Rattus norvegicus: one gene and its partner. The protein of the gene in region 1 purifies or fractionates together with the protein of each later gene. This does not show direct contact. Links are inferred from orthologs where the notes say so. Each region holds a gene or a part of one and is shown on either strand. Other genes may lie near its edges.

Evidence for each region.
Region 2: the proteins of Cdk13 (region 1) and Cdc37 purify together in Homo sapiens (affinity purification with mass spectrometry; 3 studies listed by BioGRID and IntAct, with this or other methods). This does not show direct contact. The link is inferred for Rattus norvegicus from reciprocal best matches to the Homo sapiens genes CDK13 and CDC37.

The regions. Positions count from the first base shown.
Region 1 is NC_086035.1:51,945,294-51,949,041, forward strand, and holds the start of Cdk13 (cyclin-dependent kinase 13), read left to right. Parts: upstream 1-1,407; 5' UTR 1,408-1,613; coding exon 1,614-2,827; intron 2,828-3,748. UniProt on the Homo sapiens protein: Cyclin-dependent kinase which displays CTD kinase activity and is required for RNA splicing.
Region 2 is NC_086026.1:27,964,099-27,967,794, reverse strand, and holds the start of Cdc37 (hsp90 co-chaperone Cdc37), read left to right. Parts: upstream 1-864; 5' UTR 865-974; coding exon 975-1,076; intron 1,077-3,696. UniProt on the Homo sapiens protein: Co-chaperone that binds to numerous kinases and promotes their interaction with the Hsp90 complex, resulting in stabilization and promotion of their activity. Inhibits HSP90AA1 ATPase activity.

The DNA.
Region 1 (3,748 bases):
GTCATTGTCAGAAGTAGCTATTCAAACATATTCCTTTATCTCCTAGCAACTATCTTTTGTAAACTTCGAAGTCTGAGCTTCCATTAGTTTGTGATACAATGATGCTTGAGGTCAACCTGATTACTAAGAACTACAAACCAGCTGATGACTTGAAATAATAAATTTGTTAAGGGGGTAATTACATGTACCCACTTTGTGCACTTTTAGCCTCTTTTCAGTATTAACGACCAATAAGCCATTTAGATTTTAATCTAATTACCCTGTTGCCTAGCCTCTAACTGAAGGGCAATCTTAAGGCAAGAGATGCAACGTTTAGGAATTATGTAGCTGACAGCTCATAGGTGTAGATATTATTATAGGTGAAAATATAGAGGGCAGCCTCCGTTACTACAAGATGTTTAAGGTTCCTGTGATTTTCAGTAGTCCTCCTTGATATTTGACCTATTCTCCAGATTGGCTTAAGGCTTTTTAAAAGGGAATTTCAGTGTTGCGGAAACTCGAAGCTATAAACACCAAGTATATTTTTAGGTTCCGATGGGTCCTTGAACTTGGGTGTTCGTGAGACCAGTCAGGCTAACATCAGCTTCGCCCTCTGCGGAGAGTCTCGTCTCCTCTCACAGATGTTCCAATCCCTTGGCTGGAGTAAGGGTAGTCGTTAAGATTCGTCCCGGTCCTGCCGTGACCTTTAACTGGAGGTAAGCAACAAGCGCCATAACTGGCGCCACAGGGAGTGCCTCCAGCAACAGCACAGCGCAGCCCACGCCTCCTCTCCTTTCTTTAACCCCGCTTCTGCGTCCCACCTCTGCCGGAAGTGGAATGACTTCTCTCCGTCACTTCCGGTGACAGCCAGGGTTCTGGCGGGAGCGAGCACGCAGCACCGCCCTCGACGGTGCCACCACTCTCCGTCTGCGTTCCCGAACGTGACGAGCGTGCGCGCCGCCGGCATAGCGTTTGGTTTAGGGGAAAGGCTTGAGGAACGCGGCGAGTGGGTGGTGCGCGGTGAGGGCTCCGCCAGCCAGTCGCGTCGCCCTCCCGCAGGGAGAACGCGGAGTGAAGGGAGGGGCGAGCGGCGCGCGCGGAGCCCGCGTGGAGGGGCGGAGGACAGCGAGCCGCGCCCCCGCTCCGGAAGCTGCGCGCAGTGCCCTCGGGGCGCAAGGCCCAGGCCTGTCCGAGTGCCGCGGGGTGTCGCCGCCGCCACAAGACGACGTGGACGCGCAGTGGCCGGCGACGGAGGCGTGCTGTGGTCGCGCCCACTGCCCTCCCGCGAGCTCGCCCCCGACGTCAGGACGATGGAGTGAAGCGCGGCCCGCGGTGGCACTTCCGCGTTGCGCCGCCGGAGCCCGAGGCCGCCGCCGCCGCCGCCGGGTGCGGCCGGCTTTCTGCCGAGGACAGGATCCTCCCGCACCAGGCCCTGAGGCCTCTGCGCACACACGGCGACTAGAAACGGGGACGCGCGTCCCGACCCGGATTATCGTGGCGCGACTCCCGGCCGGCCCTGCTGCTCGCTACCCCTCCGCCGCGGCTGCCGTCCCCCTTCCCGGCGGGGGACATGGCCAGGGTCTGACCCCGGAGGAGGCCGCACCCGCGCCGCACTCTGCGGCGGGCTCTAGGCGATGCCGAGCAGCTCGGACACGGCGCTGGGGGGAGGCGGGGGCCTGAGCTGGGCCGAGAAGAAGTTGGAGGAGCGCCGCAAGCGGAGGCGATTCCTGTCCCCTCAGCAGCCGCCGCTGCTGTTGCCGCTCCTGCAGCCGCAGCTCCTGCAACCGCCGCCGCCCCCGCCGCCTCTGCTCTTCCTGGCTGCCCCCGGCGCGGCCGCCGCCGCAGCCGCCGCCGCCGCGGCCTCCTCCTCCTGCTTCAGCCCGGGCCCTCCTTTGGAGGTCAAGCGGCTGGCGAGAGGCAAGAGGCGCCCCGGAGGGCGGCAGAAGCGGCGCCGCGGGCCCCGCGCCGGGCAGGAGGCGGAGAAGCGCCGGGTCTTCTCGCTGCCCCAGCCGCAGCAGGACGGCGGTGGCGGTGCCAGTAGCGGCGGGGGTGTGACCCCGCTGGTGGAGTATGAGGATGTAAGCTCCCAGTCCGAGCAGGGGCTGCTGCTGGGGGGCGCCAGCGCGGCAACGGCGGCGACGGCTGCCGGGGGAACGGGGGGCAACGGCGGGAGTCCGGCCTCCTCCTCCGGCACGCAGAGGCGCGCGGAGGGGTCGGAGCGCAGGCCGCGCCGGGACCGCCGCAGCAGCAGCGGTCGCAGTAAGGAGCGCCATCGCGAGCACCGGCGGCGGGACGGGACGCGCAGTGGCAGCGAGGCCTCAAAGGCCCGCAGCCGCCACGGACACAGCGGCGAGGAGCGGGCCGAGGCCGCCAAGAGCGGCAGTAGCAGCAGCAGCGGCGGCCGCCGCAAAAGTGCATCGGCTACGTCCAGCAGTAGTAGCAGCCGCAAGGATCGGGACCTCAAGGCCCATCGCAGCCGGACTAAGTCGTCCAAGGAGCCGCCCTCGGCCTACAAGGAGCCGCCCAAGGCCTACCGGGAGGACAAGAGCGAACCGAAGGCCTACAGGCGGCGGCAGCGGTCCCTGAGCCCGCTGGGAGGCCGGGACGAAAGCCCGGTGTCCCACAGGGCCTCGCAGAGCCTCCGGAGCCGCAAGTCCCCCAGCCCGGCGGGAGGTGGCAGCAGTCCCTATTCCCGGCGGTTGCCGCGCTCCCCGAGCCCCTACAGCCGGCGCCGCTCGCCCAGCTACAGCCGCCACAGCTCCTACGAGCGGGGCGGCGACGTATCCCCCAGCCCGTACAGCAGCAGCAGCTGGCGGCGCTCGCGCAGTCCCTACAGTCCAGTACTCAGGTGAGTCCAGCTCCCCTACCCATAGGAGGCAGGGAAAGTGGAGTGAGGCGCCTCTGGTCTGCTCGGTCCATTTCCCAGACCAGAGCTCAGGGCCAGAGGAAGGGTTTCTAGCGGGGAGGGGAGTGCTGTGCGCACCTGTGGGGGTGGGAGGGACCAAGCGACTAGCTGGAGCAGGAGGGTTTTTAACTTGTTGCTTTTAAATATTAGCAGGTTTGTGCAAAATACTCTGCTCTTCCAGCATTGCTAGTTTGGCTTAATTTGGCTTAGTACCTGTTTATGGAGAAAAGGTTCCTTTGTTGGTGCTTTATTAATGGACTGCAATACAGGGACTTAAATTTTAAAGAGCAATCCATCAGGTGATGTCAGAGTTAGATGAGGATTGCAGTTGTTTCATTAATACGGGGATAGGAAAATCAGCTTTTGTGAAGTTTATTTTAATATTGGAAATACATTTTAAGTAGTGTTGATAGAAATAGAGTTTGAAGAAAAGATATACAAGAGAGATTCTTGGGTAGGTTTTTTTTATCTGATCTTTCAAAATCATGGTTTTAAAAAGGAGGGGAAAAATGACAGTTACGTTCAGTACCCAGTTGCCAATATGTAAGTGGATATAATGGTGCAGTGTAATCAAGCGAATGTTTAGTGCATTCTCAGACCACTATAAATCTGAAAAATGCTCACTGTAAAGTTAGGTCTTTTAAGGAATAGTAATCCTAATGAACGTGTTCAGAAATTTTTGCAGGGATAATATAATTTGAAATTGGAGTAAGCCATTGTTATACAATAATAGTCTCAAAAAATGTGTATATTGATACATATCTATTATGTAGAGTGAATTAAAAGTGACTTTTGAGTACTTTATTGAGTACTTTTTTTCTAGGTCTTGTAGCTTCTTACATTACCTAACATAATTGGGCTTTC
Region 2 (3,696 bases), on another chromosome or scaffold:
TGGGATCTGATGCCCTCTTCTGGTGTGTCTGAAGGCAGCTACAGTGTACTTATATAAATAAATAAATCTTTAAAAAAAAATTAAGGGCAGGTCTGGTGTAGTGGTGCACACCTTTAACCCCAGCATTGGGAAGCAGAAGTAGAAAGATCTGTTCATTTGAAGACAGCCTGGTCTACATAGTGAATTCCAGGACAGCCGGAGCTATACAGTGAGACCCTGTCTGGGGAAAAAAACTATTTAAGGGCAAACATCATTAAAAAAAACTATGCGTATTAATATTTTGCCTGCAAGTATATCTGTGTACCACATGCATGCTCGGTGTGGGTGAAGGCCAGAAGGGGGCGCAATATACCCTGAGATGGACTTACCAGATAGGTACGAGCCGCCATGTAGGTGAGGGAGGACCAGCCAGTTCTCCAAACCATTGAGCCATTTCTCCAGGCTCAATTTTGACTTATTTTTTTTTTAGAATGTTTGTTTGTGTAACAACCCTTACGGTCCTAGAAATCACTCTGTAGACCAGGCTGGCCTGGATCCGCCAGATTGCGTCCCCACTGCCCAGCCAATTTTGACTTTTTGACAGTCTCAATATGTACCCTGGCTGGACTAGAACTTGTAGAGAGCCACCTGTTTTCGCCCCTAGCATACTTGGATTACCGTGGGCCACCACGCCCAACAAGACTAACCTTTTGTCTCTAAAGGATGTTCAGTCTGGTTTCGGCGGGAACTTCCAGAAGGCCGCACCACGTACTCCTGGCCCTTTAAAGATGACCTCCGGTTGCCAATGCCGCCGACTCCCGTTGCTAAGGACGAACGTCATGCGCCGACGCTGGGGCGGGGCCGTCGTGCGCGGCGCCCTGGGCGGAAGCGGAAGGGGCGGGGCGGGGCGAGCGGACTCTCTAGCCCTTGTGGGTCCCTGTTCAGCGCCCGGCCGTGTGGAGACCCGGGAGCCAGTCCGGGCCTCCGAGGCGAAGATGGTGGACTACAGCGTTTGGGATCACATCGAGGTGTCGGACGATGAGGACGAGACGCACCCCAACATAGACACGGCCAGCCTGTTCCGCTGGCGGCACCAGGTGGGGCTGTGCGCGCTCATCCCCTTCCCCCCACTCCCGGGACCCCCCGCTCTAGAGTTCTGACCTCTTAGCCAGGCCGCCTGGCGTGGGGGGCGGGGGAGACCTCAGTTCTTGACATCCAGAGCCTCCTGTTCCACAATCTAGACTTTCCCCCTTTCTTTTCTTTCTTCTTTTTTTAAAAACAAAATCTCACTGGGTAGTCTTGCCTGGCCTGGAACTTGCTATATAGAAGAGGCTGGTTTCTAACTCACGGAGATCCTCTTGCCTCTGCCTTCCCAGTGCTGAGGTTAAAGACATGTGCCATCATGCTGGGCTGGACCTTTTAATCCCAGGACTCCTGGATTCTTCATTCTAATTCTTCATCTGTATCTCCGGGCTTTCTCTCTGTGCTGTGGATCTCTTCTGTTTGTACGTTTACTTATTGTGTGTGTGTTCTTGTGTGCACGTGGCACAGCATGCAAAGGAAGATTACAGGATAACTTGCAGAAGTTGGGCCTCTCTTTTCACTTCGTTGGAACTGGGTGTGGAACTCAGGTCACCCCGAGTTGCCACAAGCACCTGTACACTGAGTCATTTTATCAGCTCTTAATACTCTTTAGTCAGAGTCTAGACCCCACCCCACCTCCGAAGCTGACCCATGTGTGTAGGGTCCCCATCATCCTTTGTGGAACCTTTTGTTCTCAGAATTCTTCCTCAGAGTCTGGACCCAGGTTTTGTTAGGTGATCTCATATCCCAGCCATGCACCCACTTCTGATTGCACATCTCCGTTCTGCCTCTCCCCACCCCCTAGAGTCTGGATCCATAAAACTTCGTTCTGATTGTGGCATCTACTTCCCAGGATCTTAGGCACGAATTTCCATTAAGGCCCAGAGACAACCCCCCGAACCCCCAACCCCCTAACTTCCAAACTAAATGAGGGCTGTGCCCTGCTCTTAATTTAATGGTCAATCTTAGTTTGCAGCTGGGATTCCCAGTCCAGGATCGATTTCCCTGGGTTATAGACCAGAGCTACACTTGGGACTTCAGTGTTAGAGCCCCCTTAGCCTCTCTATTTGACCCCCAGCTCCACTCTTGCCCATCATCCAATTCTAGTGGCTTTCCTTATTTTCACCTCCTGTAGATTCTTATTTCCCCTTACTCCAGGAAACCCCACCCACTTAACTTCCGGTCAGAACCTCTGCTCCTAGTAGTATAGTAAGTAGACCCCCATTCTGCCCACATTGGCTCCTGTATGATTTGTAGCCATCATTGAATACTCACCAAACCGGATGGTGATGACACATACTTTTAATCCCAGCTCTCAGGAAGCAGAGGCAGGCGGGCCTGTGAATTCAAGGCCAGCCTGGTCTACAGAGAGTTCCAGCACAGCTAAATAGGGGTACTCTGTTTGGAGGCATGGAGTCCAGTGGCAGGATAGGACAGAGAAAGAAAGTGGGGGAGGGGAGAAAAGGGGGAAAGGAGAAGGAAAAGACAGCTCACCCAATCCCAACCCAGAAAACCAAACCCTTCCTGTCCTACCTGCCCTTCCTCTCCAGTTTCATTGGCCTCTCGAGGGTTCATATCATTCTATTTAACTCTGCACCTCCTGGATCTTGTTCCAACATTACCTTACTTTCTGAGCATTGTAGCACACCTGTAAACTCAGGTCTTAGGAGGTGGAGGTAGAAGGATCTGGAATTCAGAGTTAATCCTTGCTATAGGGCAAATTCTAGGCTATCCTGGACTACGTGAGACCCTGTCTCAAAAACCAAATGGGCTGGAATTCAGTTGTAAGCATTGCCTTGGGCTCCATCTGGCTTAAAAGCTAGCCATGGTGGGGCAGGCCCGTAGTCTCAGCACTGAGAAGATAGAAGCAGGAGGCTCAGAAGTTCAAAGTCATCAGCCACATAGTAAGTATGAGGCTGGCACGGGCTCAGGGAATCCTGTCGATCACTAGGCAGATAAAATAAAGTCCTACACAGTTTTAAATCTGCCCATAACAGATGCCTTAGACTGAGACCGTCAGATCCCCAAGTGTGAGCAAGCCATGCTCTTCCGCCTCTCTTGTGCCAGCATTGCCTGCAGGCCCATAGTGTACTACCTAGATGTAAGGGTGGTCTGAAGATGTAGTTGAGTGGTAGAGCACTCTCTAGCATGCAGGAGGTCCTGGGTTCCATCTCTAGCACAGCAGTAAAGAGACAGTGGCCTAACCTGCCCCCCAAATTAAAGCATCTGTACCCACATACCTGTGTGTCTTTACTCTGTCTAGGTTACATTGTATTTGTGTATGTTCATGCTCATGTATGTGTAAATGTGCCACGCTACCCTGTCACAGTCAGAGGATAACTTGCTGGAATCCGTTCTCTCCACCCACGTGGGCTCGGGATCAAACTCAGGCCGTCAGGGTTGGTAGCAGGCCTTCACCCACTGAGCTCTCTCATCAGCCCTGTGCTTGTTACACTCCCAGGCTGCTGGCAGGTACTCTGCAGTTAGCATTCCACCTTCCTGAGGAAAGCTTCTCCTCTTTACTCCTCGAAAGTCCTTCCCTATCCTCCCCAAATCCAGCAGTCAGCTCTAGTCCCACCTACACACCTATTCCTTCCAGTTTCCTGGGAAGACCGCCTGGCAGGCAGCAGTGCA